Linked DNA regions of Nothobranchius furzeri. The protein of the gene in region 3 purifies or fractionates together with the protein of the main gene of each other region. This does not show direct contact. Links are inferred from orthologs where the notes say so. Each region holds a gene or a part of one and is shown on either strand. Other genes may lie near its edges.

Evidence for each region.
Region 1: the proteins of ncbp3 (region 3) and thoc6 purify together in Homo sapiens (co-immunoprecipitation; 3 studies listed by BioGRID and IntAct, with this or other methods). This does not show direct contact. The link is inferred for Nothobranchius furzeri from reciprocal best matches to the Homo sapiens genes NCBP3 and THOC6.
Region 2: the proteins of ncbp3 (region 3) and thoc1 purify together in Homo sapiens (co-immunoprecipitation; 4 studies listed by BioGRID and IntAct, with this or other methods). This does not show direct contact. The link is inferred for Nothobranchius furzeri from reciprocal best matches to the Homo sapiens genes NCBP3 and THOC1.
Region 4: the proteins of ncbp3 (region 3) and thoc2 purify together in Homo sapiens (co-immunoprecipitation; 3 studies listed by BioGRID and IntAct, with this or other methods). This does not show direct contact. The link is inferred for Nothobranchius furzeri from reciprocal best matches to the Homo sapiens genes NCBP3 and THOC2.
Region 5: the proteins of ncbp3 (region 3) and thoc7 purify together in Homo sapiens (co-immunoprecipitation; 3 studies listed by BioGRID and IntAct, with this or other methods). This does not show direct contact. The link is inferred for Nothobranchius furzeri from reciprocal best matches to the Homo sapiens genes NCBP3 and THOC7.
Region 6: the proteins of ncbp3 (region 3) and thoc5 purify together in Homo sapiens (co-immunoprecipitation; 3 studies listed by BioGRID and IntAct, with this or other methods). This does not show direct contact. The link is inferred for Nothobranchius furzeri from reciprocal best matches to the Homo sapiens genes NCBP3 and THOC5.
Region 7: the proteins of ncbp3 (region 3) and alyref purify together in Homo sapiens (affinity purification with mass spectrometry; 4 studies listed by BioGRID and IntAct, with this or other methods). This does not show direct contact. The link is inferred for Nothobranchius furzeri from reciprocal best matches to the Homo sapiens genes NCBP3 and ALYREF.

The regions. Positions count from the first base shown.
Region 1 is NC_091745.1:30,134,782-30,138,886, forward strand, and holds the start of thoc6 (THO complex subunit 6 homolog), read right to left. Parts: upstream 2,801-4,105; 5' UTR 2,670-2,800; coding exon 2,655-2,669; intron 2,088-2,654; coding exon 1,996-2,087; intron 1,923-1,995; coding exon 1,858-1,922; intron 1-1,857. UniProt on the Homo sapiens protein: Component of the THO subcomplex of the TREX complex which is thought to couple mRNA transcription, processing and nuclear export, and which specifically associates with spliced mRNA and not with unspliced pre-mRNA.
Region 2 is NC_091751.1:49,147,958-49,152,219, reverse strand, and holds the start of thoc1 (THO complex subunit 1), read left to right. Parts: upstream 1-1,462; 5' UTR 1,463-1,511; coding exon 1,512-1,559; intron 1,560-2,212; coding exon 2,213-2,286; intron 2,287-2,365; coding exon 2,366-2,426; intron 2,427-2,496; coding exon 2,497-2,566; intron 2,567-2,721; coding exon 2,722-2,840; intron 2,841-2,940; coding exon 2,941-2,989; intron 2,990-3,078; coding exon 3,079-3,174; intron 3,175-3,283; coding exon 3,284-3,366; intron 3,367-3,452; coding exon 3,453-3,526; intron 3,527-3,600; coding exon 3,601-3,709; intron 3,710-3,818; coding exon 3,819-3,953; intron 3,954-4,094; coding exon 4,095-4,195; intron 4,196-4,262. UniProt on the Homo sapiens protein: Component of the THO subcomplex of the TREX complex which is thought to couple mRNA transcription, processing and nuclear export, and which specifically associates with spliced mRNA and not with unspliced pre-mRNA.
Region 3 is NC_091750.1:26,050,512-26,054,631, forward strand, and holds the start of ncbp3 (nuclear cap-binding protein subunit 3), read right to left. Parts: upstream 2,801-4,120; 5' UTR 2,266-2,800; coding exon 2,089-2,265; intron 1,763-2,088; coding exon 1,697-1,762; intron 965-1,696; coding exon 859-964; intron 773-858; coding exon 647-772; intron 539-646; coding exon 413-538; intron 331-412; coding exon 191-330; intron 112-190; coding exon 3-111; intron 1-2. UniProt on the Homo sapiens protein: Associates with NCBP1/CBP80 to form an alternative cap-binding complex (CBC) which plays a key role in mRNA export. NCBP3 serves as adapter protein linking the capped RNAs (m7GpppG-capped RNA) to NCBP1/CBP80.
Region 4 is NC_091750.1:48,389,664-48,393,163, reverse strand, and holds part of thoc2 (THO complex subunit 2), read right to left. Parts: intron 2,387-3,500; coding exon 2,255-2,386; intron 2,175-2,254; coding exon 2,108-2,174; intron 1,861-2,107; coding exon 1,727-1,860; intron 1,043-1,726; coding exon 975-1,042; intron 583-974; coding exon 558-582; 3' UTR 539-557; exon of another isoform or gene 445-538; 3' UTR 1-444. UniProt on the Homo sapiens protein: Component of the THO subcomplex of the TREX complex which is thought to couple mRNA transcription, processing and nuclear export, and which specifically associates with spliced mRNA and not with unspliced pre-mRNA.
Region 5 is NC_091743.1:56,272,747-56,276,462, forward strand, and holds thoc7 (THO complex subunit 7 homolog), read right to left. Parts: upstream 2,277-3,716; 5' UTR 2,190-2,276; coding exon 2,171-2,189; intron 1,964-2,170; coding exon 1,840-1,963; intron 1,736-1,839; coding exon 1,608-1,735; exon of another isoform or gene 1,309-1,607; coding exon 1,222-1,308; exon of another isoform or gene 1,104-1,221; coding exon 1,046-1,103; exon of another isoform or gene 968-1,045; coding exon 901-967; exon of another isoform or gene 809-900; coding exon 739-808; exon of another isoform or gene 667-738; coding exon 605-666; 3' UTR 501-604; downstream 1-500. UniProt on the Homo sapiens protein: Component of the THO subcomplex of the TREX complex which is thought to couple mRNA transcription, processing and nuclear export, and which specifically associates with spliced mRNA and not with unspliced pre-mRNA.
Region 6 is NC_091757.1:44,994,552-44,998,593, reverse strand, and holds the start of thoc5 (THO complex subunit 5 homolog), read left to right. Parts: upstream 1-1,242; 5' UTR 1,243-1,357; intron 1,358-1,578; 5' UTR 1,579-1,580; coding exon 1,581-1,679; intron 1,680-2,355; coding exon 2,356-2,499; intron 2,500-2,727; coding exon 2,728-2,841; intron 2,842-3,197; coding exon 3,198-3,295; intron 3,296-3,518; coding exon 3,519-3,665; intron 3,666-3,783; coding exon 3,784-3,898; intron 3,899-4,042. UniProt on the Homo sapiens protein: Component of the THO subcomplex of the TREX complex which is thought to couple mRNA transcription, processing and nuclear export, and which specifically associates with spliced mRNA and not with unspliced pre-mRNA.
Region 7 is NC_091752.1:50,607,405-50,611,693, forward strand, and holds the start of alyref (THO complex subunit 4), read left to right. Parts: upstream 1-1,489; 5' UTR 1,490-1,616; coding exon 1,617-1,856; intron 1,857-2,120; exon of another isoform or gene 2,121-2,353; coding exon of another isoform or gene 2,354-2,560; intron 2,561-3,816; coding exon 3,817-3,975; intron 3,976-4,060; coding exon 4,061-4,208; intron 4,209-4,289. UniProt on the Homo sapiens protein: Functions as an mRNA export adapter; component of the transcription/export (TREX) complex which is thought to couple mRNA transcription, processing and nuclear export, and specifically associates with spliced mRNA and not with unspliced pre-mRNA.

The DNA.
Region 1 (4,105 bases), on a different chromosome or scaffold from region 3:
GCCATAAGACCACAAATAAGAAGAAGAAGAGAGGCGGGAGCGTTCGCAACAAATTCTAAGCGATAGTCAAAACATGAAGCATGAAATGGAGTTATCCTAGTGGCTCCAATAAGAGAAAGATGCTGCTTGCTTTAAAAAAGCCTTTATCTTCACTTCCATAAGTGACGTTGTTTTTCAATGTAAACATCAAAAGGAAGCAGAAAAGGAAAGAAAATCGGAAATGTTTAAAGGGAGGAAAACAGACCAAAATGGAAAAAATAGAAGAAAAAAAAGAAAGGACACAGGAGCACTGACAGGAAGAAGAAAGCACTCATAGGGAGAGAAAGACAGGAAAAAAGAGGAGGACTAATAAAAAGTGAAAATAACTCATGTCAGAAGAGGGAAGTTTCACAAATCCAGTTAAAGATAAGATTGTCGAAAATTTAGGGGGCCTCATGTCTGTGTTCGCCTTGGGCCCCCGTCGTCTTCCTGCGCTTATCCGGGTCACGGGGGCAGCATCCCAACTAGGGAGCTCCAGGCCGTCCTCTCCCCGGCCACCTCCACCAGTTCCTCCGGCAGGACCCCAAGGCGTTCCCGGACCAGATTGGAGATGTAACCTCTCCAACGTGTCCTGGGTCGACCCGGGGGCCTCCTGCCGGCAGGACATGCCCGAAACACCTCCCCAGGGAGGCGTCCAGGAGGCATCCTGACCAGATGCCCAAACCACCTCAACTGGCTCCTTTAGATCAGGAGGAGCAGCGGTTCTACTCTGAGTCCCTCCCGAATGTCCGAGCTCTTCACCCTATCTCGAAGGCTGAGCCCGGCCACCCTACGGAGGAAACTCATTTCGGCCGCTTGTATCCGCGATCTCGTTCTTTCAGTCATTACCCAAAGCTCATGACCAAAGGTGAGGATTGGGACGTAGATCGACCGGTAAATCGAGAGCCTGGCTTTCTGGCTCAGCTCCCTCTTCACCACGACAGATCGGCTCAGCGTCTGCAGTTATGCACACACTCGGCCGCGAACCTACCCAGCAAGAGCTGAAGGTCAGAGCTGGATGAAGCTAGGAGGACCACATCATCCGCAAAAAGCAGAGACGAGATTCTCCTGCCACCAAACTCGACACACTCCACACCACGGCTGCGTCTAGAAATTCTGTCCATAAAAGTGATGAACAGAACCGGTGACAAAGGGCAGCCCTGGCGGAGTCCAACCCTCACCGGGAACAGGTCCGACTTACTACCGGCTATGCAGACCAAACTCACGCTCCTCTGGTAAAGGGACTGAATTGCCCTTAACAGAAAGCCACCCACCCCATACTCCTGGAGCGTCCCCCACAGGGTGCCCCTGGGGACACGGTCATAAGCCTTCTCCAAATCCACAAAACACATGTGGATTGGTTGGGCAAACTCCCATGCCCCCTCCATCACCCTTGCAAGGGTATAGAGCTGGTCCACAGTTCCACGGCCAGGACGAAAACCACATTGCTCCTCCTCTATCTGAGATTCTCCAGTACCTTGGAGTAGAACTTTCCAGGGAGGCTGAGGAGTGTGATCCCCCTATAGTTGGAACACACCCTCAGGTCACCCTTCGTAAAGATGGCAACCACCACCCCGGTCTGCCACTCCACAGGAACTGCCCCCGGTGACCACGCAATGTTGCAGAGGCGTGTCAACCACGACAGCCCTACAACATCCATAGCCTTGAGATACCCATGATGAACCTCATCCGCCCCCGGGGCTCCGCTGCTGTGTAGTCGTTTGACTACCTCAGCAACTACTGCCCCTGAGATTGGACAGTCCATCTCCAGGTCTCCCGGCTCTGGTTACTCCTCGGAATGCGCACAGGTGGGATTGAAGAGCTTCTCTGAGGACTCACCTGTAAACGTCAGAACAGGCTTCTGGCTAGCGGTGGTGGCTTCTGGACTTAGAGCTGCAGCCAAGCTGAAACAAAAACACGGCAGGTGTGAACCTCAGACTGGTGAAAGGCGAGACCAGTTTCGCTGGTTTGTCCCACCTGAACAAGGCAATCTCTCCGTAGTTGTTTCCGGCCGCCAGGAAGCGTCCGCAGGGAGAAAAGCTCTGGGAGAAAACCGACATGTGGAGGAGCTGCGGACATGAAGAGATCGAGTTAATCCTTATTTAAACAACATCAGACACACATGAACGATCATATCGGCTGTTTTCAGATCCGCGTCGGGAGCATCGACATGGTCGGGAGGATGTGTGCGGGTTTTATGGCTGTTTCCAAGGGCGCATGGTCATTGGTGGGAACATGTCACGTGACACGGAGAAACCAAGCCCGGAAAATGTGTCTTCCTGAAACGGATTATCAAATCAGTTCAAACTACCTTAAAAACAGACTCTAACATCAGGTTGAACCTGGTTACAATAATATCTGTAACACTTTCAGATTTATAAATGTTTAATGATATCAGAGAACATCGTTATTTTGAAAGCTTGAATGTTTCTTCCTAAATAATAAAATCTCCGCCAGCAAAGAAATAAGTTAAAACCTGTACAAATCATACCTCATATATGTTTGTTTGCCTAGTAAACAGTTTAATGAGATTTTAACAATAATACGAAGAAGAGAAACACTGAATAGGGCTGCAGCTGGTTTTTAAAACATTTACTCTTCGTCAGAAGCGTGTGCGCGATAGCTATAATATTTACCTCTACGGGTCCCATTCTGCCTCAAAATCCTCCCGGTTCCGTTAAAGTCGCGGAGAAACAAGGGACAATGGAGCCAGCGCGGGAGAAACCATCGACATAAATATGAAACGAATCGGGTGGTGACGGAGAAAGACGCATAGATATGACGTATGATCAAGCATAGGATTGTGGGAGATGTAGTAAAGAGAGGGCTTGTTTCTGACATATCAGAATCGATCAGAATCAGATTTATTGGCCAAGTTAAGTTGCATTTACAAGGACTTTGGCTTCGGTAGATGTTAGCTGTCTAAACATACATCAAATAAATGATAATGCATTCAATTATCAGGGAAGAAGCACTTATTCAAAAGTAAAAAATAAATCAGGAATTAAATCTCGAACAAAGAAATACTTCCAAGTTCAGAAGAACCCTGTCATCAGGGTGCACGGGTGTGACAGCCAGTTGCAGAATGTTGAAAGAGACAGGTGTGTGATCATCATACAGAACAAAAATATGTGAGAGATAATGCATGCATGGCAAAGCCCACAACGTGACTCAAATGAAAAACACAAGTTTACTGCATGCACATTTCTACTGAATATTCACAAGCAAATTAAGTCCAAATATTCTATTTTGTCCTTATCTAAAATTTAATTTGTCTTCAGTTTGTTTTCCAGCTTGAGTTTTTTGTGTCCAGCAACCTGTGTGGTCTTATAGATCATAATAGACTAGTAGATGACACTAACATGGAAATTGAACTAGATATTCTGTATTAACAAGTTTAATCATGTAAAATGAGAACAAATAAATAAAAATTTCTCCAACAGGTAGATCTGGTGCTGTCTCTCACGCTCCATAAGGGAGTGCTTAACTAGAAGCACATCAGTCCTGTAACTGTTGCCGTTTAATCTGTTACTAATAAATATTAGTAATAGAATAGTAATAAATTAGATTAGTAATAAATATTGTGATGTGCTCTTTTTGTTATCCACTGCCCATATTGTCTATAGTGCTTTTATGTGACCTGCCTAGGGATTGAGGATTCACTTTAGCATTCCTATAGCCTAGTGAACTAGACCAAATTCTTGCTTTGCAAAGTTTGGTCTAGCAACACTCCACTGCAACCTCTGCAGCCCCAACAGCATTCTGGCTGGCCAATCACAGCTCTCTAGAGGGGTTTCAAACACATAAAGAGCTGTGATTGGTCCATAATGGTGAGCCATAGTGCTCTATCTGCTTAGTGAACAAATCACAGAGCTATATCCGCTTTGTGGGCCAATCAGGGCACTCTATATGCCTGGTGGGTGGGACGATGCAACAGAGTGAAACATGAGTATGTCACATTCATTGTCCAGTAGGCAACGGTAGAACCCGCCCCACAACCGCGAGCCGTCAATGGAGCGTTGCCAGACTAAATAATACATTTATTTAGTCTGGCTTGCCAGGCTATTATTCCTACTATAATCTGGCA
Region 2 (4,262 bases), on a different chromosome or scaffold from region 3:
AATTGGAGGTATATTTTTGAAAACTCGTTGCATAAAAGCTGAACAAATTATCTAGGGAAGTTTAATTGAACAAAATAAATAAATTATTTAATTAATTAATTAAATCACCCATTTTAGGTAGAATGTAGAAGATTTCTCAATCTTCTTGCCCTAATCACAACCTCAAACCACGCACAAATCACTTTTAAGAGTGCCTCCCAGCACAATCTCCAAGTTTCTCATCGTGCTTACTCCCTTTCTGCTCTTCATCAGTTTTTGGCAACAATCTGATGAACTCTGAGTAAGATAAGGGATGGGAGAAAATAGGTATTAGTAAATCACTCCTCACTTCCCTTTTTCATGAACACTACAACCACACACGTGAAGGAAATAGAGCCTCTCCTGCTTCCATGTGACACTAAACGCCTCCACTTCACAAAGTCATTGTTCTTCTCTTAACATCAGCACAGCCACCAAAACACTGTCACAAAAAGGTTACAAACACCCATCAAAAGGAGCTGAAAAGGATCATCCTTGTATGTAAATCCTAGAGGTCTTGACCTGGATCAAAACAAGCTTCAGTGTTCTCACATGGGTTGAGTAAATCTTTAGTTTAATGATTGTTGTCTCAGGGTAATGGAGCGGTTATTCTAATGTCAAATCGGACATTGTTAGACAAGCAGATGGTATCAAAGGATTCAAGGCCTGCAGCACATAGCTGAATGTTCATTTGCATGATTAGAACATGTGGAAGTGCACACCAAGACAGGCACACATGCAAAACAAACACATTACAACTGCTGTGCATTGTGACCTGTCAAAGTCAAATATTTATTAACAAGAAAGGACAAAAATTATTTCGCTCTTTCCGTTAAAATAAATATAACTTTGAAATGCATACAATATAAACAGAGTGACGTTATTTTACAAGTATTCAATGGCTGACACAACTTATTATTATTATTATTATTATTGTTGTTGTTGTTGTTGTTGTAATTATTATTATAAAGAAAGTTTGGAACATGACTCTTTAAAATAAAAATCAAGTGTAAGATTTTTTTAAGTGAGTCCTGGCCAAAAGGCAAACTAAACCATACAGTGGGGAAATTAGGATTAAAATAAATATTAATACTGTTATTTTCAGGAAGTAGAAATACTAATTTTAACTCACCATTTGAAGAAGGTTTCCATGCATCCATCACTTACAGCCACTCAGAGTTTGATGAATGTAAGCAAATTAAAAAATAATGAAAAACTTTAACAGCAACAATGGTGTACAACACTGCCATCGTGTGGTCAAGATTGCTATGCTACGGTTTATTTCCATTTTTCATCCAAAATGGAAATAAAAATGTGACTGACTGAACTATTTGAAACTAAATTAAAAAATACAAAGTTAGTTTTATCCTAACTCCGTTTATAGATAATATGTATTAATGTATAATTTTGTCAGATAATTCCCTTTACGTACAAAAACGCCACTTCATAACCGGAAGTGATTCGTTGGCGGTTCCGGTTTCAGAAGCGTAAAGATGTCTCTGTCCTCATTTAATTTTGTCGACGCTAAAGAGAAATTTTCGGTGAGAAGTGGCTTCTTTCTGTCATTTCCATCCATAATATATTTGTATGTAAGACAACTTGTTGATAAAACCGTAAAAAATCTTAACTTCACTACTTTATGGTTGTGCTTGTTGTACTAGTGTAGTAGTTAGCCAAAGAAGCTAAGCTAAAGTAAACGCTTCTGAACGGTCCTGTTGTTTACGAGGTTGAAGTTAGCTTCCGATTTGGAAATTGGCTAAAGAGCATTTGCACTCAATTTTATTTACTATGACCATCTTTAATCTGCTCTATTTAAAAAAACTACAATGCCTAGACAGTTCAAACCGGGACTGGAATATTCTAGACTAATAGCAGATTCCATAAAGCATAGTTTGTGATTTGTGAAACCTTTTTCAGATTTGTGAAACTTAAAATAGGCAGATTTTGAAGTTTCACAAATCACAAACTGTTTTATGGAATTTGCTATTAGTCTAGAATAATCCCGTCCAGGTTTGAACTGTCTAGGTATTGTAGTTTTTAAGATGAAGCAGATTAAAGATGGTCACCGTATATAAAAATTGAGAGTGGCCTTGGCCTTAGCCATTTCCCGAATCGGAAGCTTGAAAACGGAAGCAAACTTCTGCATCGTCTTTTGTTTCTCATTATGTCCTTTCCCATGCTCACCCAACCGTAGGCTGCAAGCACACAAGCACTAGCTGGTAAAACCTGCAAACCCCTAATCGCCGTGTTTAACCAACTCCCCGGCAAGTAAGTTGTGCTCCTGGGTCGAGGTTCCAGATCAAAATAATCCAGAAATACAAATTTACTACTTGTGTGTTTTTGTCAGTGAGACGGAAAAGAAGACCACACTGGATCAGGCTTTGAGGAGTGTTCTTGGTGACCAGATTGTAAGTTTAATAAGTTAGTTAATTTAAATTTGAAAATATGTGAGAATCGCTAATGATTGTTTCTCTCTAGCTTGAGCAGAAATCATGCTGTGATGACTATCTGTCTCTAATCTACCAGAGCATCAATGCTGTTACTGAGGGTATGTTATCACTACTGCTGAGGTGGATATTTATTTTAGATTAGATGATTTTGGATTTTAAACATACATGTTGAAAGGATCGCTTTGATATAAGTTTTGGTAAAACGTCTCTTAAAACAAATGACAGTGTAACATTTATTCTGTTTTTAATGCAGGTATCTGTTCTGCTACGACTCCTTTTGTCCTGCTGGGAGACGTTCTGGATTGCCTTCCCCTTGACTTGTGTGACAAAATATTCTCTTTTGTTGAAGAAAATGTCTCTACCTGGAAATCGGTATAATTACAGGCATTTTTTTTTGTAAAGGCAACAAAAATATTTCTCTGTTTTTGTTAGAAGGTTTCATTATTGTACCTGTGTTGTTTCTTTCTTCCAGAGCTCTTTTTACACAGCAGGAAAGAACTATTTGTTGAGAATGTGTAACGGTAAAAATCTTGTCTTTTTCTCTGTCATCCAAAAGACTTTCTATTCTCAGAAAGTTCAGGTGCAAGTGACTTTTGTTTCATCTGTACAGATCTTTTAAGGAGGCTGTCGAAATCCCAGAATACAGTATTCTGTGGGAGAATCCAGCTTTTCCTGGCACGTCTCTTTCCTCTGTCTGAAAAATCCGGTAAGAAAGTCAGTTATTTTTCTAACTTGAAGGGGAAAAAAATCAAAGCACTTTACAATCATATTGTAAACCTCTCAATTAAATAGATTTTGTGTGTGTTTTAATCCAGGTCTCAATCTACAAAGCCAGTTTAATCTGGACAACATAACCGTGTTCAATAAAAATGAACAAGAAAGCACTCTTGGTCAGAAGGTGAAGTATTGTTAGGTTAATTATTAGGTTAATGAGCTCATCCTTTCCATCCTGTTTCATCTGTTTTTTTGCTACTATGTTGACAGCACGCTGATGAAAAGGAAGACGGCATGGAAGTGGAGGAAGGAGAAATGGGGGAGGATGACGCCCCGGCACCGTGGTGAATGAAAACCATTTGCTGTATTTGCTCACATTTTCACCTTCATGAAATAATAGTACCCTTTTGTTCCTTAGTTCTATTCCGATTGACTACAACCTGTACAGAAAGTTCTGGACATTGCAGGACTACTTTAGAAATCCGTTGCAGTGCTATGAAAAAATCTCATGGATTACTTTTGTTAAGGTAATCCACCTCGGTGCAGCAACTCTGACCAATTTGACGGATCACTGTCAATATCCAAGATGAGGATAAAAAAATAAATAAACTTGTGTGTTGCTTTTGCTTTGCTCAGTACTCCGATGAGACTCTTGCTGTGTTCAAAAGCTACAAACTGGATGACATGCAGGCGTCAAAGAGGAAGTTGGAGGAGCTGCGAGCGTCTGATGGTGAACAGGTTTACTTTGCCAAGTTTCTCACGAGCGAAAAGGTGCAGAAAAATCATTAAAAATCTTTTAATCATGTATAAATAAGCAGTTTTTAACTGACTATGGCTGTAAGTCATATGTTTTTCTGTCTTAAAAGTTAAACTTCATTGTTTTGGGATTTTTTTTTTTTTTGTAATCTGCAGCTGATGGACTTGCAGCTCAGCGACAGCAACTTCCGGAGACACATACTGGTGCAGTACCTGATCCTGTTCCAGTACTTGAAGGGTCAGGTCAAATTCAAAAGGTGAACATTTGTGCAACTAAACAAATATCACTTGTTGGGATGGAATTAGTTCATGTTTATGCTTTTT
Region 3 (4,120 bases):
ACCTTGTGTAGCAAAGCGCAGAAACAGTTTGTTTCCTTTAAACGGTTTGATGGCAGGTCTCAGCTCGTTCCTCAGCAGCGACTCCCTCTCAGCTGCTGACAAGTCGTCCACCTGACAAAAACCGCTGAGTCAGTCATTGGTGACACACAAACTGCTGAGTCACTTTGTGACATCACAGTAAACGCTCTACCTGGCCACCATCCACCTTCCTGTTCTGGTCCACTTCTTCATCACCATTCTTCTTCACCTCCTCTTCCACCTCTCCCTCCTCCTCCTCCTCTTCATCATCATCATCATCATCCTCTTCTTCCGACCCTCGAACCCGTCGAGCTGTGATGTTAAAACAGATTAGATTACCTATAATGCACCACACCTTCATGACATGTTCAGTTCAGTCGTGACTCAGACCCACTTTTGTTCCGTTTGCCCGGCTGCTCGCTGGACTCCGTCTCCGTGACAACAACCTCTGGTGTGGGCATCTGGCTGGAGTTGATGAGAGCTCTGATACAGGTGTCATCATCCAGCCAAACTACGTTACCTAGGCGACAACAGGACAGGTGAGATGCTGCTGAGCAGCACTGCTGTCCTGGACCTCTGCTCTGATTGGAGCAGAACGCATTTTGTTACTCTCATGTTCGTTACTCACAGGAAGTGTCATTGATCCACTCAATGTGGGCTGGAGGATACTCCCTGAAGTACCCGAACACATCCTGCGTGCTCATGTCGTCCACACCACTCACATGGATCGCCTCCATCCGCAGTTTAAAGATGGCTGAGCACCACAGAAGAAGAAAGCTACAGTTCCATAAACCCAAGCAGACTGCTGTTAATGATTTGAAACAGAACACCGGCTCACACCTTTCTTCATGGCATCTTTATCCAGGAAGACGTTCCTCTGACCAACGCTCTCCTCACAGCGGAAGTGGAAACGTCTTGCTCGTTTCTCTTTCCTCTCAAACGCTTCCTGACAAACAAAACCTACAATCAGATACCCGAGACTTGAAGATCACTTTTACAACTGAAATCATTAACAATGATCAAATATGAGCTAAAAGTGTTTCCTGATTATGTTCAGATTTCACAAAATGACCTGAGCTTGTCCTTTATGAGAGCAACATTTACAATCAACAGGAACAGACAAGAAACAACAAACCAGCACCTGCTGTCGCTGAAGTACAGGTGGTACGTGACATCACAGCATTGCATTCTGGGTACTTGAGGCTACATGGGCATAAGTGAACTACCAGCTGCTGTTCCAGAGAAGACGGCGTTCCCAACAGACAACTCGAAGATGGGTGGCGATTATCTAGAGCAACCTAACCCTAACCCAGCGGTCAGAGGAGGATTGGGTTGTGGACTGACGACCCTGCTCAAACCAGTAAGCCGTAGATCTGTTAGTCTGAGCCTTCATCATCTGGAATGTTTAAAATGACGTGGTTTTATCTGAGCGGTGGTCACTGCTGATCCTTGCTCCCATCCATCATGAGGTATGGCAAGCTGTTGTGTGTCACATGAGAAGCACCGCTGTACCTGGCACAGGAGGAGAAGCTCGAACAACTAGTTCTCAGATGAAAGCTCGCCCTTCCCAGAATGTGCTCCTAATCATGAAGAAGCCTCAGCTTGTTAGACCTGCTCGCAGGATGCACTAAAACATCCAGGAGTGTTTCTCCAGCTCAGGTGTGTCCGGTTCCGGTACCTTCGAGTTCACGTCTATCCCGGTGATGAACGCTCCGGCCTTGTTCTCGTACCTCCGGCTGGTGTCCTGAAAACAGCAGATCCAGAATCAGCCTGAGGAGCTTTCCCGGGGGGAGCCCTCACCTTGTATTGTTTACGTTTGTGTCATCTACCCTTGACAGAAACAAACAAACTCCTGGCTTTTATTCATCTCTCGGACTACAAACAAGTAGATTTTAAATTGTGATTTTTCTTCATTAACGAAACCTTTGACTTCAAAGCCATTAAACGGAGACAGAAACCGCGGTTGCTAACCGGGGAGAGCCGCTGCTTCAGCGCCGGCGCCTCCCGCTGCTCGGCCGGCGGGAGGCACACGCGAGTCCCCGGTCTATCGAGGCCTAGTCGGAAACTTACCGGGAGCAGCTCCTTCAGAGAGCGGTTAACCGAGATGTCCTCCGCCTCCAGCTCTCCCTCCTCCACCTCCATTGGTTCGGCCTCACGGGCATCTCGATCTGACTCGGAGTCTGAGTTCGGTTCCGAGCGATCCGAACCGCTGTCTGATTTAACCTGTAAACTGCGCACTGCCGCCATGGCGCTAACTGCAGCAAACAACCGCAGGTGGTGCTGCGCTGAATCCTGCGACAATTCAGCGCGCTTCTTCTTCTACGGTGCAATTTTTTTTAAACAATCTTTATTGACACATTTGCAGCAGACAAGACATAATATATTGACAAAACAACATCGATGTACAGGGTGTGATACATTGACAAACAGAGAAGAAAAAGAAAACACTGTTAATGAAAGTAAACATAAATAATTATATACAAACAAAATAACATAAAATAAAACAAAATTCCACTAATACATTACCTTGTAATATGGGGCATAATAGAATTCATCAAGTTGCATATTTTCACAGCTTTCTTGTTTTTACTAATTCTACGTACAGTCTCATGAAAAAAATTAAGAACAATATAAAATAAAGTTACATTTGGTATAGTCTGTAGAAATCTGACTTTATGAATGTGAAATTTACCCAACAGACACAGCAATTTTATTACATTGTTAACTTCCTTGTTACATTTAACGTTTAAGAATAAGACCATACTTTCATTAAAAGTAATCAATATTTTATGAGAATCCCAAACTAATGAAGACAATTGATTCCAAAACTGTACAACTAAAGGACAACCATAAAACAAATGAGTAAGAGACTCAACACCTGTTTTGCAAAAGGAACATAAAGGGGACACATCAGGTCTAAATCTATTAATAAATTCATTACACGGATTATATCTATGTAAGATTTTCAAGTGTATTTCTTTAACTTTATTGGGGACAAAAAATTTCTGAACCTCAGAAAAGGCATTGCTACTGATGTCAGGAAACATTACCCTCCAACGATGTAATGAATTTGGAACCTGACTATATAGAGAGGTGAAAACGGCTCTAATGTGAGCATTGTTACATGAGTGCTCTTCAAGAAGCTTTCCACCAAGACACAGTGCAGGAATCCTTCCTGTGTAAGGTGTATACTGAACAGGAGCTCTGACAAGAGACAGTAAATGAACAGGAATGCTTTGGAGGATTCTAGAGTGCATAGCGAGAGATGTGTTGAACCCCTTTCGTTGGATGAATTCATCATAGGTAGCTAGGTCCCGTTATCATTCAAAAGATCAAACACAAACATAACACCTTGATCATACCAGTCTTTGTAAAACAGAGTCTTGTTCTTGTGAGCAATATGTTGATTGTTCCATAAAGTACATGTGTGAGGGGAAAAGTTGTGTTTGAAAGCCATTTTCCAAGTGTCCAGGGCTTGTTTGTGAAAGTTGGCCAGTTCAATAGGCAGTTTATCTGAGGTAAAGTTGCATGAAAGCAAGAACTTTAAACCGCCACATTTGTTAACCAAAAAAATTGGGAATAAAAAACCATGGTTCATTATTATGTGAAAGACAATGTTTTAACCAATTAATTTTGAATATATTGTTGATAGTTTGGAAATCCAATACATTAAGACCCCCCTCTGAAATGTGTCTAATAAGTGTTTTCCTCTTTACATATTCATTTTTATGTTTCCAAATAAACTTAAATAAGAGTGAATCAATAGCTGCACAGGTTTTCCTATCAACATATAAAAATAAAGCTGGGTATACTAACCTGGATAATCCTTCAGCCTTGGAGAGTAAAACACGACCTATAATGGTAAGATCCCTCTGTAGCCAGCAATTAAAGACAGATTTAGATTTCTCAATTTTAGGGTTGAAGTTTTTTGAAATTCTTTCACTAGAGGATTTGCTTAATGTGATAACCAAATATTTAACTTCTTTTTTAACCTCTATGCCATCTATTGATACGGTGTCTAAATCATGTATGGCTAATATTTCACATTTTCTCTTATTAACTGTGAGACCAGAAGCATCCGAGAACCTGTTTAAAGCTTTAA
Region 4 (3,500 bases), about 22 Mb from region 3:
ATTAAAAGGAGCAGATAAATAAATAAAAGTTTCTCAAAAAGATATGAGGTAAGTGAGAATGGAAAGCACATTAAATCTAATAAAACGAGCAAAAAGCAAGGCCTGATAAAGTACAAAAACTAAACAACAAGCAACATTTTCCAAGTTTGGGATTTTTGAATCTGACCAGATGCTACCATGGGGGTTTTACATACAGTAACCACATTTCTGGGAAAATAACACTGTGATTACAGCAGCATGTTGTGTCCATACTGATAATAATATTAATAAAGAAAAATGAAAGCTTCCATCTGAAACTGGGTAAATAAGGGATGATCTGGCTTTTAACTACTGCTAACAAGTTGTGGGCAAAAAGAAGAAAAAAAAAGGGTGCTAGGTCATCGACGTGGCAGTTGGAGTTACAGGAGTCTCGCAGGCAGAAGCACAGCTTCACCAGATCTGCTGCTGGACACGTGGGTCGAAGAGGGCAGGAAACGCGTCAGAAGATTCAAATCTAGCAGCAGTAGAGCTGATCTGTAACCAGCTGAGTGGTCCTTACCTTCACTGATTAGTGCACATTATCTGTGCTTGTCAGATTTATGGGTGTGGTTGTTAAGGGAAACCGTGATCTGTAACTACGAACTGTCAAAAACAGCTGAGACAGAGCAGAAAGGTTTGAGTTCTTCCAAAGGAAATGACACCAAACCGTTTTTAGACACTAGTTTAATAAAGCTGGGGAGAAGTGGGGCTGTTTGTCTGGGTAACTCAGCACAAACATCACGGATGAGTGGGGAGGTAGGTGGGGGAAATGAGCCAAGTTAAACTAAAGAGAGAATCTCATAAAGGAAACAAAAAGTGAACCAAGTTCAGTGTTGGGCGCAGCAACAGGAAAAATGTCCTAACCTAAACCCAGAACAAATCAGGACACCACAGCTGCTTTGGTTCAGGTGAACGGAGCAAAAATAAACACACACCGAGTCTACAATGAAGGATATTGCTTCTTTTCCTCCTTCCCACTGCTGCTGTCCCTCTTATCCTTCTTCTCTTTTTCATGCCTGGACTCCTGCAGGAAGAACAAGAAGGAGTTTAAACTGGTTAGCTTTCTCCCTCCGTGTTAGACAAGTACTGAAAACAGACCCAAACTGAGCCTAATAGACAAACCCTGCAATTAAATATGGAGTCTGGTTAGGACGTAAACTACAGCTGCATGACGTCACGTCTGAACATCAACATCACACTGATGTGTTCGTCACATCACCGGTTCTGATGCCATGTCTGAGTACTCAACATGTTCTTGTCTACTGTTAAGGGTTCCTGGCACACCCATCACAATCGTTCCTAGCCCATTTGAGGAGGCAGACCACAAGGCGTTGGTTATGTAAGATATTGCTGTTTTCTGATTTTCATTGGCTCTGATGCGTCAGTCAACAGCTATTTGTGAGAAAAGGGGTGGTACTTCTGAGCTGTTGGCTAATAGCTGAAGATTTTGCCCTTCAGAGGGACGTTATGATTTAATTAGGTTGCCAAAAAATGCCGATCTGACCCAGGAATTTATATCCCGCTGTACAAAAATCACCAACAGATTAGTTACCAACATGATGGCAGCAGTGCGGTAAAACTTGAAGTGCTACACGAGGCATTTGCTAAAAGTTTCTGTATTTTTTATATTAGAGTTAGAAATAAATGGCTACATGAATTTTCCCAGTATGAAGCATCCCTGATGTAAACGGTGCTGAGCTGAACAGACCTTTTTGCCTCCGGAGGAAGTTCGCTCCGGTTTCACCGACTCGGCCTTCTCCTTGCTGGATGATTTGGATCTTTTGGTTCTTTCCTTTTCGGGTGACAGTGAAGAGTCACAGGAAGGACTGTTTTTAGCCGAATCTGGGAAGAAAACATTTAGTTTAAGAAATTAAAATTTATTGCCCTGCGATGGACTGGCTCTCTGTCCAGGGTGTACCCCGCCTGATTGCCCATTGACCGCTGGAGATGGGCACCAGCCCCCCCGCGACCCTACGTGGACAAGCGGGTTCAGAAGATGGATGGATGGATGGAAGTTAAAATTAATTGACTTCTAAAGCAAAGGCATCTGAAATTTAAGAGAGGGAAAAAAATAAATACAATGACTCACTGGTTCCGTTCTCATCCTTTTTACGCTTGGACTCTAGGCTTGCCTCTCGGTCTGTAACGATGTGATCCTGAAACAGAAACGAACACGGAGGTGATCCTTTCAGCTCCGTGGCTGATAAACAATAACAATCACTTGCAGGACGCTCACTCTTTTCCTTTCTTTTCGTTCTTTTTCCTCCTTCTTCTCTTTGGGTCGGCCTTGTGTGATCTCTGTCTCTTTCTTCTCCACTTCCTTCTCTCTGCTCTTGGACCGGGCAACTGAGTTAAAGTTGGTGTGGTGCTAAACACGACGACACATGAGCAGAACAACACAAAACATTAAACACCACAATAACAAAACAAAGGTGAAAACATACTTTATTATTAGAATCAAGAAATAGAATTGACCACCTGAATCACCTTAAAGAGACAGTAACCATTTAACTCATTCACTGCCATTGACAACTTAAGTAGTCATTTGCATTTTTTTTACTGTGTGAGCGTCGGAACGAGCCCCCGCACCATGTGAACAAACATCTCAGCTCTAAAGCCGATCTTCATCTGCGTACATCACACGTCACGTGATCAGGAAGCAGAACATCCATGTGTTAGGAGATCGTTTTGGGCCGTTGCTGTAAAAAAGTGTGGCGCAAACCGGAAAAGCTTCTGCCGATCACAATTCAACAACGGATTATGAAAGAACGGATAACGCTCGAAACGCGCAGATTCTTCCTAATGTAAGAGATGAGATTCCACTTTGTTTTGGTTGTTTTGGCGTTGGCAAAAACTGTGAAAATGCTGAAAAACGCTGGCAGCAAAGGGCTTTTCTGATCAGGAAACAGCTGGCAGTTCAAGAGTTAAGTATGGCAGCAACACTAGTCTTGACTGCACTCTGACTAGCTGTTAGCACATCAGTCTGGTTGGATTTAACCTTTTTTTTAACAGAGGTTGTTCAGGAAACAATCTAGATGGTAATTACAATAAAAGACTTTAAAACGGTCCAAATAGAGAATAATATTAAAACCTAAAGCTAAATGTTGCAGATCAATTTGCTGAAATGTAATCTAGAGAACCGAGTTTTAGTTGAACACATACAGAAATGGGGCTTGTCTTGAAATTCAGAAACCTAAAATGAGGCCAAACACCCAAAAAAATAAAAACAAACCTTTTCATGATGTCATCCTGCATTTTCAAGACAAAGATGTTGAACAAAACCAACATGAGCCATGAGATTAGCTTATATCAATATTCTGCTTTAGTCTAGATCTTGTGGACACTAATTTGAGACGACACATTCATCTAAGACACTCATGAAGACCTAGGTCCTCCTCAGCGTCTGCTGTGCTTTTTATAACAGCTCCCGGAGACTTCTCGGCCTCCTGTTGTCATTTCATATTCTGGTTTCAGTACAAACA
Region 5 (3,716 bases), on a different chromosome or scaffold from region 3:
TGGTTCGGTTAAAACAATTTACAGGGGTTTGCAACAAAGTACATAGTGATCATTCACATAGGAAGTCAGAGGCTTTCTTTCATTGTGGTTTATTTACTACATCAGTAAATTTTGGCATTCATTTTTAAATAAATGAGCAAAACCATAATTCTTGTTACAGACGTCTTATTCTCAGAAGAATGTAATTTTGTGAACTTTAAATCAGAAACTATTTGATAGTTTGGTATGAAAAAATGATAATTTAGTATGAAAAAAATGATAATTGGGTTTAATGACACTTAGATTTTACAAGTATTCAAACTCTCACTTATAGTGCAGAAACTTCCAGAGAAAATACAGCACATATGAATGTTCAACAACTGTTCTGTCCTTGACTGACGCGTATTAAATTTCTTTTCTGATCAGAGTTTCAGTTGATTTTCTTAAAAGCCTGGAAGCTTTGGTTACATTTTTACTGAGATTATTTTAATGAAAAGAGAATATAAGAATTAAAGATATACTCCAAGATGACAGCTTTATTCAAAAATACATACAAAAAAGGATTCTTAGACAAACTAAATTTCAATTAAAAGCTGTGACTCCTTCAGTTGGGCTCTTTATGTGTTCAATCCCCATTCTCCATGGGACTCTCCTGACTGTGGTCGTCACTATCTGACTTTTCATCATCTAGGAAAGACAGGATAGACGATGAGGGCAGCTCTGACAACAGTTTGTCTGTATAACCAAGTGGCTACTTACTTTCTAGTGTCTGCTGCAGCTCCTGAATGGTAGTAAGAAGAACATGAAACTGCTTCTTCCTCAACTCCAACTAAAGAGAATGCAAACATGGCATAAAAAGTCAGTAAAAATACAACTAAATCTGATACTTTAACAACATTAGGCCGCTGTGTTTGAGTTTACCTTTGCATCTACGTTCTCTTTGATGTGAGACAGTTGCTGGAGTTCTTTATCGAGTGCCTCCAACTGCCTGGAAGGTAAAACAAAAATGAGCACTTTATTGAACATGAAGGGGAGCTTGACATGTTTTATCGATAGGCTGACTTACTGGAGTGTTTCATGTCTGTCTGGGTGTTGCTGGATTACCTTTGCTAAAGCATCATATTCTTTGGAGAGACAGAGAACAGATACTTAAAAAAAAGTTTACATCCTTTTGACAACGCACATTTGATACCACATCTGGTAATTTTTCTGTAAATACAACAGATGTTAAAATGTCCTTACCCTGGCGATTTTTTCGTATTCTCTTGGCACGCAGAATTTCTTTTTTGCATTCTGTGATCTTCTCATGTGCAGATGTGATGTTTTGTTCTGCGAGGTGCGAAAGAAAAAAGTTTGATTAGTGTTAATTGGGCGATGGTGGCACAGGAGTTAAGTGCTCGCCCCATAATCAGAAGGGTGCAGGTTCGAGCCCCGCTCAGTTGTAGCTACGATGTAGCTCATCACCACCAGTGTGTGAATGTGTGTGTAAATGTCTGATTGTGTTGTGTTGTAAAACGCCGTGGGGGGTTCCAGGACTAGAAAGCTCTATAAAATACAGGCCATTTGGCATGTATGACTAAAAGAATTAACAAAAAATTCTGTGACATTGAAAACAAAGCCGATCTTACCTATGTTTGCGTAGATCTTCTCATAATTCTCCATTTCACGAAGATTCATGTCATAAACCATCAACGTCTTTCCCATAGAAAACTCACACTGAGCCAGAGTAGCCACCATCCTCTGGTACTGAGTGAATCTACACACAAAGAGCCCAATGTTCAGCATTTCACTGCAGTTGTGTACTCGGCATTCAAGATGTTACAAGCAAAAACTGGAGACAGATATATTGCTAGCTCGTACCCTTCTTCTAGGGTCCCAGAAGGTGAGTTGCACCACTTGGTGAAGCTCTTCAGCAGCAGATTGATTCGGCGGTCATCTCCAGCTCCGTCACCGTCAATGAGAAGACGTTTTCGAATCACCTCATCTGTGGAACATGCAATAAAGCAGCTGAAGAGCGTTGAAAACATAATGCATCTATGCTAAGTGTGCTAGCTAACGTCGCTATTACAGGTAGCATTTCTGGGTATTTTTCCAGATAATAAGGCGCAATTTACAATGTTTTAAACTTAGACGAAAACAAAAGTAAAGAGTAACTTAAGTGCTGAAATTAGTTAATGATAAAGCCACAAACCATCAGTTACAGCTCCCATGTTGCTGTTTTTCTTCTTCTACTACTTCCGTTCTACTGGTACTGATTGATCTTTTGTCTTTAGGCAACTCAGACACAGCTGAGCTCGTTACTGCCTTATCTGGTAAGAGGACGTTACTGCATGTTGTGATCTTTTCGCTTCATCTTCGTTAAATAATGTGGATTTTAAGTATACAGTGATTACAGTGATTATGTGACACAGAGATTTAGTTTAAATGCAATTTAGTAATACCACTAGGTTTTTTTATCACACAATCAATTACAAATTACACAATCAAGTGATGAAATTGAATTACGGTAGAATACATTTTTCAAAGGCAAAATGAATGCTGTAATCACTTTTTGCTGTGTAAAAAAACGCCTCAATTATGTATGAGCAAAGCCCTGCTCATAAAAACAGCATATGTTGTGTTTGGTGCTGGTTTAGTGGTAGATCAGCATACAATGCTGGTCTAGCAAGATGGTTCAGCATCCAGTCACCAGCTTCCCATACTGGACAGGCATTGTACACATCTTTTAACACAAAACCCTAAACTTTTGCAGCTGTTCAAAAATAAGCACTTTCTTGACATCAAAACGTGTCTTTAAAATTCACAGACATATATGTGAAATATATGGCACATATCAAATAGGATTAGATTAGGATTAGAAAATAGCCTCTCCCTGGGCTGCCACCTTAGCGTGGTGGAGGGGTTTGAGTGCCTCAATGATCCTAGGAGCTAAGTTGTCTGAGGCTTTCTGCCTCTGGTAGGGTCACCCACGGCAAACAGGTCCTAGGTGAGGGATCAGACAAAGAGCAGCCCGAAGACCTCGTATGATGAATTATATAAATGGAAAACGTGTTGCCTCACCCGGACGTGGGTCACCGGGGTCCCCCTCTGGAGCCAGGCCTGGAGGTAGGGCACATTGGTGAGTGCCTGGTGGCTGGGCTTTCACCCACTGAGCCCGGCCGGGCACAGCCCGAAGAGGAAACGTGGGTCCCCCTTCCCATGGGCTCACCACTCGTGGGAGGGGCCAAAGGGGTCGGGTGCAGTGTGTGATGGGTGGTAGTTGAGGGCGGGGACCTTGACGGTCTGATCCTCGGCTACAGAAGCTGGCTCTTGGCACATGGAATGTCACCTCTCTGGTGGGGAAGGAGCCTGAGTTCGTGTGTGAGGTTGAGAGGTTCCAACTAGATATATTCGACTCACCTCAACGCATGGCTCTGGCTCTGGAACCAGTTTCCTTGAGAGGGGTTGGACTTTCTACCACTCTGGAGTTGCTCCCACTGAGAGGCGCCGAGCAGGGGTGCGCATACTAGTTGCCCCCCATCTTGGTGCCTGTACTTTGGAGTTTTCCCCAGTGAATGAGAGGGTAGCCTCCCTCCGCCTATGTGTGGGGGGACGGGTTCCGACTGTGGTCTGTGCTTATGCACCAAACTACAGTTCAGACTACCCACCCTTTTTGGAGACCTTGGAGAGGGTGCTAGAAAGCGCTCTTTGCAGTGACTCCCTCATTCTGCTGGGGGACTTTAACGCTCACATGGGCA
Region 6 (4,042 bases), on a different chromosome or scaffold from region 3:
GTTTTATGTATTAAGAGGATTTCAGTATAATTTGTACAAGTCTGTAAATTTGAAACACTGTCAAACTGTGAATAAACACTTATGTTACTTATGTTGTTAGACTGATTGATTTCAAAGTAGAAAATTATATATTTAGGTCCTGTAATTTTTAGTTTGATGCAAGTTTGTTCTAGATGGGTATCAAATGGTGCTGCATATGTAACTATTAGAAATTAACTTCTGATTGTACGTGATGCAAAAAAACTTACAGATGTTCCACTTAAGAATTAAGTTTATTGCCACAATACAAGGTAACAATCAAAAGAGTGAAAAATATGAACAAAGATCTATGCAAATAGATTGCTCTTATAGGACTGAAACACTGTGCATCGTGTCAATATGATAGATCTATAACTGCTTTATGAATACATTTGCATTAAATGGAGAATTACACTTACAAAGAAAATAACTAATATGGAAAAATGTCTGCAAATTTATAATATTACATTTACATTTTTGAAATGACTATTTGTGGAATTTCTTAAAGTTACAGTAGCTTTTAGGACAGTAGGTCGCGCTGTGTCCTCCGTTAGCGCTAAATGCAGTGCTTTTTGACTCTTGGGCTCTAGATATGAGACCCAGAGTGGCGCCGCCATATTGGATGGGCCTCCACTTTTTTAAATATTATCATTAAATTCTTATTAAAATTTCTCGTGAGACAACAACACATAATAGAAACATACAAGGCATCTTTAGTAACAATAAAAGAAAAACAAATAAACTTAAAAAGAGGTACTTATATCACAAAGTAAAAACATTGTTACAAGATTAAACATTTTTCGGCAGCATGACAAATGGCTTTTGCAGTTGCATTTGAATTTTTTATACGAGTCAAAGTGGATAAGAACATATGGAATTCATTTGTGAAACAGTTCTTGTTGCCTCCTCACTCTAAAGTCAATCCAGAGTTATCAACTATGCCCGGCAAAAACATCACGTGGATTTACTAGTGCCTTTTCTAGCCTACCTGATAATATTTTTTATTTTATTTTTATTTATTTCGTTTAATTATATTTATATTTTAATTATGCCATACATTGTGTCTGATTTGGTTAAAAAGCTTGATATAATGTGTTTTTAGTTGGGTAAGCAGCAACTTCATCAGTAGATGTAAATGCACCGCAGGCGAATGGAGACCCATCTAAGATGGCAACCGGGCGCTACGGCAGCTGAAATAGGCAGCGCCTGTCCTTGGAGCGTCTACGATTACGTATGTCTGTGTGTTGGGCTTCCGTCCTAAATCGACAATTTGTATGTAGAGGGAGTTCTCGTTTTTACGTGTACTATTCTATCAAGTAAAGACGTAAGTTTGGACCAAGTGAGTATTTGTCGGAAAACATACTATTTATAACCACAATGAGCGCATAATATCCGTCAAAATATTAGTTCTATTAGTTTAGTATACCGATGTTAGCTACAAGCTAACGGTTATTAGCCCGTGTTAGCTTGCATGCTAACCGTATGTCATTGTTACTAAAGTGATGTTTTCATCGGTGTTTTTTTATCGGTCTAAAACTCTTTATTTTCACATTCTAATAGCCATGTCTTCCGACGTTCTTAAGAAGCGGAAATCGAAGGTTCTCCGCAGTGAAGCAGGAACCCCGGAGGTGAAGCGGGGACGTGGAGAGGCGGACCAGCAGGTAGACAGAATCACTCAGAACTTTGTAAATAAGTGGTGTCCAATCATGGACATGTAGGCCCACTGTCCAGCATCTTTGTTTCAGCAGCATCTAGTTTGAATGAATGGATAGTTAGCATGCCTCTGTAAACTTGAAAACACGAATCTGTTAAACAGCAGTGGATTTGAGCAGGGAGATAACTAAAACATGCAGAATCGTGGCTCTCAGTGACCAGTATTGGACTTCATTGCTGCGATGAATTTACTAATTGAAGCTTTAATTGTACTTACTGTTGAGTTTACAAATATACAGAACATTGGCAGTTAAAAATGTCAGAGTTTGCACATTTTATTTTATGTGATGATCAATCAAACAGGGACATTTTCTGCCTCTCAGTTCACGTCCTACAGGTTCCTTAAAGTCAAAGTTATAGTTTTTATAGGTGTTTGAATATTGAATTGCGGTTAATTCATCCACATAGTATTACACAAGGTTAAATCTGTTTTTGTGGTAACAATTGAACATCTCATGTTGAACAAGTTCACAGGAATATTCACAGCACATTATGTTTTTAAACACTAGGTTGCATGTTAGCAACCCAAAAACAATAGTGAGGTAGGTGTGTAATAACTTTAGAATACTATGAAGTAGTATATTATTGATGGTTTTATTATTGCATGCTTGTTTCTTTTCCCAGGATGTTCGTGTCTATAATGAGGAGGTGGAATTGGATGGCAGGAACCCTGAACAGGACTTTGATCAATACAAAGAGTCATGTGAGGCTTTATCCAAACTCATGAGTGAGATCCAGAGGATGAAAGCCTCTGGTGCCAAGGAAGGGGTAAGAGCCATAATCTCTACAATACATCACAGCAGTATACAACTTTCCTTTAGTTTCTTTTTCAAACGTTTCCTTTTCTGCTGGAAAATCTCTACTAAACATCTGTTCCAGATGTTTCTTTTATTGACTTTTTCACATGCCATATCAAAGCTGTAAGATCTGAAGTTAAGTGTATGGGTATGAAAGTAAATATCCATATATATATATACATAAATGTTTCTTTTTAAGAGTATGGATGTCGAGCAGAAACGTATGCAAAGCTGCATCCTCTTCATGAATCTTAAGAAGCTCAACCGTCTAGCTCACATGCGACTGAAAAGAGGCAGAGACCAAACACATGAGGTAATTTTCACAAGTCTACTTTTGAACTGTGGAAAAAAACTGTTATAATTTAAAATGTTTTGTTTACTTTCTGGAAAGTGTTTGTTTGTTTTGTGCTGATTGCAGGAGGAATGTTTAACAAGAGGCACCTTTTTCATTTTAACATTCAACCACAGTGAAGGCTACAGTCAATGTGCAATACCAGTTTAGTTTTTGTGTTCTTTGTTAAGCTTTGAGTGTTTTACTTCAAATTTGATTTACATTCATTAATATGATCAAATGCTGAGTTTTGACAAGCATGCATTTATTATTTTTTAAAGGGTTATTTTTTTTGTTACTTTACAAATTTCATTGGTGATTACTTTTTCTGTTTCCAGGCTAAACAGAGAGTTGATGTGCTCCACCTTCAGCTGCAAAATCTGCTCTATGAGGTTATGCATCTTCAGAAGGAGATCAGCAAATGTCTGGAGTTCAAGTTAGTACTAAATTCTTTACTTGACTTCAGCCTTTAGTTTTTTCAACACTTTTTATTTATAATTTAAGATGAAATAATCAGTTTTATTAAAAGTGTTTAAGGATGTAACAACATATCTCTATAAGAAACCACTAAACAATTTGTTTCTTTTTAATTTAACATTCTCAGCACTACTTGAAAAGTATCCTGTCATGTCTAATTAAATTCTCCGTCTCTTAACAAGATCTAAGCATGAAGAAATTGACTTGGTGAGTGAAGAAGAGTTTTACCAGGATGCCCCGCCGGAGATCTCCAGGCCTTCTCTCACAAAAACCGATCCCCACCAGCTCACACTAGCACGGCTGGACTGGGAGCTCGAACAGAGAAAGAGGTACAGAACTTTACCACGAAATAGTACACATTTGTACTATTGTGGTTACTTTTTGCTGTTCGGTGTAGTCTTTGTCTGGCAGAGAGCAGCTGATTAAAGTATTTTTTGTTGGAAACAGGCTAGCTGAGAAATACAAGGACTCACAGGCCACAAAGGAGAAAATTCAGAAGAGCATTGAAGTGAAGAAAGAGCATCTAAGAAGCTTGCAGCCAGGACTGAATGCTATCATGCAGGTAAAAATAACAAAAACAGATTTTTAATGAAAATTTTACGCTTCCAAGTGAAACATGTCCGCTTTAAGATAGTAGGAGGTTGCATATGATTGCATACAATATTTTATAAATGTAATTATATGTTTCTACTTGGTCATCTTTTAT
Region 7 (4,289 bases), on a different chromosome or scaffold from region 3:
GCTAACATGTTTTATTGATACTGAGTAAATTCTAAAGGCATTTTATTTTTTATTTATTTCAATTATTAGAGGGGGCTATCCAAAATACGTGGAGAAGGTTCTGTCCTCTCCCTTTTAAATCACACTAACTGATAAACTATGTTATTTGGAAAGCTAGGTTGAATGTTTCTAGCCGGACCTGTAAAAGTAAGACATGTCTGACAATGTCAAGTAGGCTCAATGATCTCAAAAGCAAATGGTTGATTGCAGTTATTACAAATAGGCATGCAGTGCCAGGTTTTGGCTGCTTTTTCCCTTGAAAGATCAAATAATTGTTTATCTGAAGTGTTTTGCAAAATTTTCATATTTTAAAATTTTCTTGAGCCAGTGTGTGCTAAAACAACCCTGTACAGGGTTAATGAAATGTCACTCAGACCCCGACCACCCTCTATGGCCAGAATGTCGCACTTGCAACTTCAGAGTTGGACTTGTGGAGCTGACATGCCTGGTGCTGCAGTCTGCTTCCTGCATGTTTTAGATCATAAACACTGCTGGTTTGGTCAATTTAGTGATGAGCTGCTCCTGTAGAAATTAAGGAAGGATGGGGAGACATTATTATGGATTAAGGTGTTTAAAAAGGTGAATGCACAGTTTCACTTTTGGTTTTACTAACAGAACACTAGGGGCTGCTAAAAGCAACCCAAAACTGGTTAGTTGTGCAAAAAAAAAAAAAAAAAAAAGCAAAAGTTTAGAAATCTAAGGGGTCAGTAGCCATCACCAGTTCTGTGTAACTGCTTAAAGAGCAAGTCACCCCCTACCAGAGTATTACTCCGCTCCCACTTCCTGTTTGAAAAATGCAACAAATTCTGTTGCCTAGCAGACCAAGAGGGCGGGCCCGCTAACAAATACACACACACACAACGACATTGTGACATCATATGCTACCAGCTAACGTTCTAGGGTACCCCTTTGCCAATAACGATGGCAGATTTAAATTCAAATGCAGTGCAGAGTTTTTACCTGACAACGGCACAACACTCACAGTTTTAGGCAGAAAATTTAAATTTTAACTTAAATGCACAAAAGTGCAAAACTACACGTGTCTGCAGCACGGTTAGATACGCATTTATATAGTTTATCAGAAAAAAGTTGATCTGGGAGTGTCTTGCTCTTTAAACACTTAACTATATTATTTTAAAATCCTTGACTTTGTGAAAGTTTCTTTTAAGAATTGATGATTGATGTGGTTTAGTTTTTCCCGGTTATTTCTTCAGTTTACAGTTTTAGTTTCGATCAAATGTTATATGTCATATTTGTCAAAAAAATATTTATTTATTTGTTCTGTATTTTACCACATCTGTGTAGAACTTTTGCACAATTCGCACATTTTCCTGTCAAGGTTTCTTTTAGATACATGCTCCGCCCGGTTCCGCCTCATCGTCGACAGTAGAGGGGATCACGTTCACGTACTCACGTCAGGCTTACGTAGAGAACGTCGTGTTCTACTACTTGTGTTTAGCAGCTGCTACAAGAATCAGACACCGTTGAGCCTTGAAAGGGACAGGGAGAGGGACCGACCGTGTCTAGGGTGTAACATTCTTAATTTGTTCAAAGTTTAGCGTTATTGGGGCAGCAAAATGACCGATAAGATGGATATGTCTTTAGACGACATTATCAAACAGAGCAGGCAGCAGAGAGGTGGAGGCCGGGGAGGAAGAGGCCGTGGCCGCGGAGGCACAGGCAGCGGCCGGGGTGGAGGCGCTGGGCGACTCGGAGGCGGCGGCGGAGGCTTTGGAGGCCGAGGCGGTGGATCCGGCCCCATGAGGAATCGACAGAACCTGAGTCGCGCTAGAGGCAGACCTACGCCTTACAGCAGGGTATGAGAATGTTAGAGGAATAAGCAGAGAAATGTTTTCATATTGTGTCCCTTCTCCCGCAACCCAAATGTGTAACGCACGTCGAGCTTCAACAGCCTACGGAAGGAGTGGAGGCCCTCAGCGCCATTTTGAATCCAGCCCCGCATTGTGAAGCTAGTCGTCAGTGAGTGCTCAGTGAGAGGTATCCTGGCCACGGTGGTGAAAGAAACCCACTTCGTCAAGAGTATCACTCGAAAGTGTGTTTTCACTGCTTGTCGGAGCGGGATATGTGCTCAAGTTCCCGCCAGCGCAGCGACCAGGCGGCCTTTTGTTCGGGGAGTGGGTTCTCAAGCCCTCTGGTGGCTTTTTCTACCAGTTTGCCTGTTACTTGTGGATGGAAAAGCGGACTTTTACTCCTCTGTTAGTGCCCAAACAAAACCGGTTCTTCGTCTTTTAAAGTGTGATCGAGTTGGTAGCGAAGCCAAACAAAGCCCCAGTCAAAATGGCGTGGTTTCAAAATGGACGCTCACGCAGAGGGGAGATCTGGCCATTTTCACTCCTCATCCAGCACACGGACTCTTCCCCTACTGAGAACTGTTCTGAGGTCCAGGACACAAAGTACCAGCGCTGGAGACGCCGCTGCATCGAACAGGAGTCCCCGAGTGTCCCGAGGAGCTGGCTTTTCTGGAGGGAGGCGCAGATGGCGAGAACAATGGGCATCTCTGGTAGCTAGTCTGAGGAGTTTTACAGGTTTAGCATCAAGTCTGTGGGTTTGGGTTTAAGAAATATCTGTGATGGTAATACTTAGGTTTCTGGAAAGGCTCGTTAGTCTATTCTAGGGTTTATTTCACTAGAAACCCAGAACAGGACTGTTGAGTTTTGTTTTTATGGTTTTGTTTTTAATCCATTTACTACATCAAACTTGGATCTAAAGAATACATTTTTATTTTAAGTGGGCTTTAATGGGACCATTTTTCTTTAGACAGTTGATTAGAGTGATTGAAACAAGTGGCTCCCAGATCTTTTAACTTCTGATTTACAAGATCTGTGATTAAAAACCTTCATTATTCATGACGGACACGTACAAATAGCCAATAAGACAATTACATTAGGACAGGAAGATGACTCCATCCACTTTCACCAAGACTAAACGCTTGTCAGTTGGTCTGTTTAGATGTTTTCTCTTCATATATGTCAATTATTTTTAAATTTGATAATCTCAACATTGGTGTCCTGTCCTAACTTTGGGAACCAGTGAGTTTGAACTAGGGATGCACCGATACGATACTGGTATCGGCACCGATACCAATACCAGTATCGGTGAAAGTTAACCAATACCAGGAACCGATACCAATGCAGTTGCTTGAAAATGGCTTCACTGTAACTTGTCATTTCTGTTCACCTAATATTTTAGTTTTGTGATGATTTCCATTCATATATTTTACTTTTTATCTACCTCACAGTCTTTTCCTGTTGAAAGCAGAGAAGAAAGTAAAATCTGCATTCCAAATCATTGCATTTTTTTTTTTTTTGTGTGGTAGAAGTATCTGTATTGGTATCGGCGAGTACTAAGATCGGTTTGGAAAAAAGTGGTATCGTTGCATCCCTAGTTTGAGCATGTTTTTACTAACTTAAATCAGTATGGACTTTATTGTGATGTTTGTACACATTCCGATTTAAGATGGCCCAACATTGGTGTGTTAACGTTTAAAAAAGTTCAAAATTTGAATCGAAGCGAGACTACTACAAATCCCCTTGCTTTTGAGTATTTGTGTGCACGTCCCTTTGAGCTGATGCACTTGCTCGTTGTGACGGGGTGGGCAGGGAATACTGGGGACCCCCCCCCCTCTAAAGGGAGCTGAGCACCATGTTGGAAGTGGAGCCCCCTGCTTGCCCCAACAGCCAGCCGTGTGGACTCAGTGATGGGCAGAGGCAAGGGGATCCTGAAGTCAGCAGGTGCGTTCTCTTTCATCTGTTGCAGCCTAAACAGCTCCCAGACAAGTGGCAGCACGACATGTTCGACAACGGCTTCAGTGGCTTCAATGGTGCTGCTGGGGGTGGCGGGGGAGCTGGTGTGGAAACTGGAGGGAAGCTCCTCGTCTCCAATCTCGACTTCGGTGTTTCCGATGCAGACATTCAGGTACTCCAAAATCCGCGCTTCACTGGTTGGTTGTGTTTTATGGCTTGTTGCTGTCTTAGACTAATCTTGGATGTACTTTTTCAAGGAACTTTTTGCGGAATTCGGAACTCTGAAGAAAGCTGCAGTTCATTACGACCGGTCGGGAAGAAGCTTAGGAACAGCAGATGTCCACTTTGAAAGGAGAGCTGACGCTCTAAAGGCCATGAAACAGTACAACGGCATCCCACTGGATGGTACGCTTCAGACCTTGTTTACATTTTTCTGGTTTGACATGACTAAATAATTCAAACTTTCTTGAGTGTTCAACCCCCTTT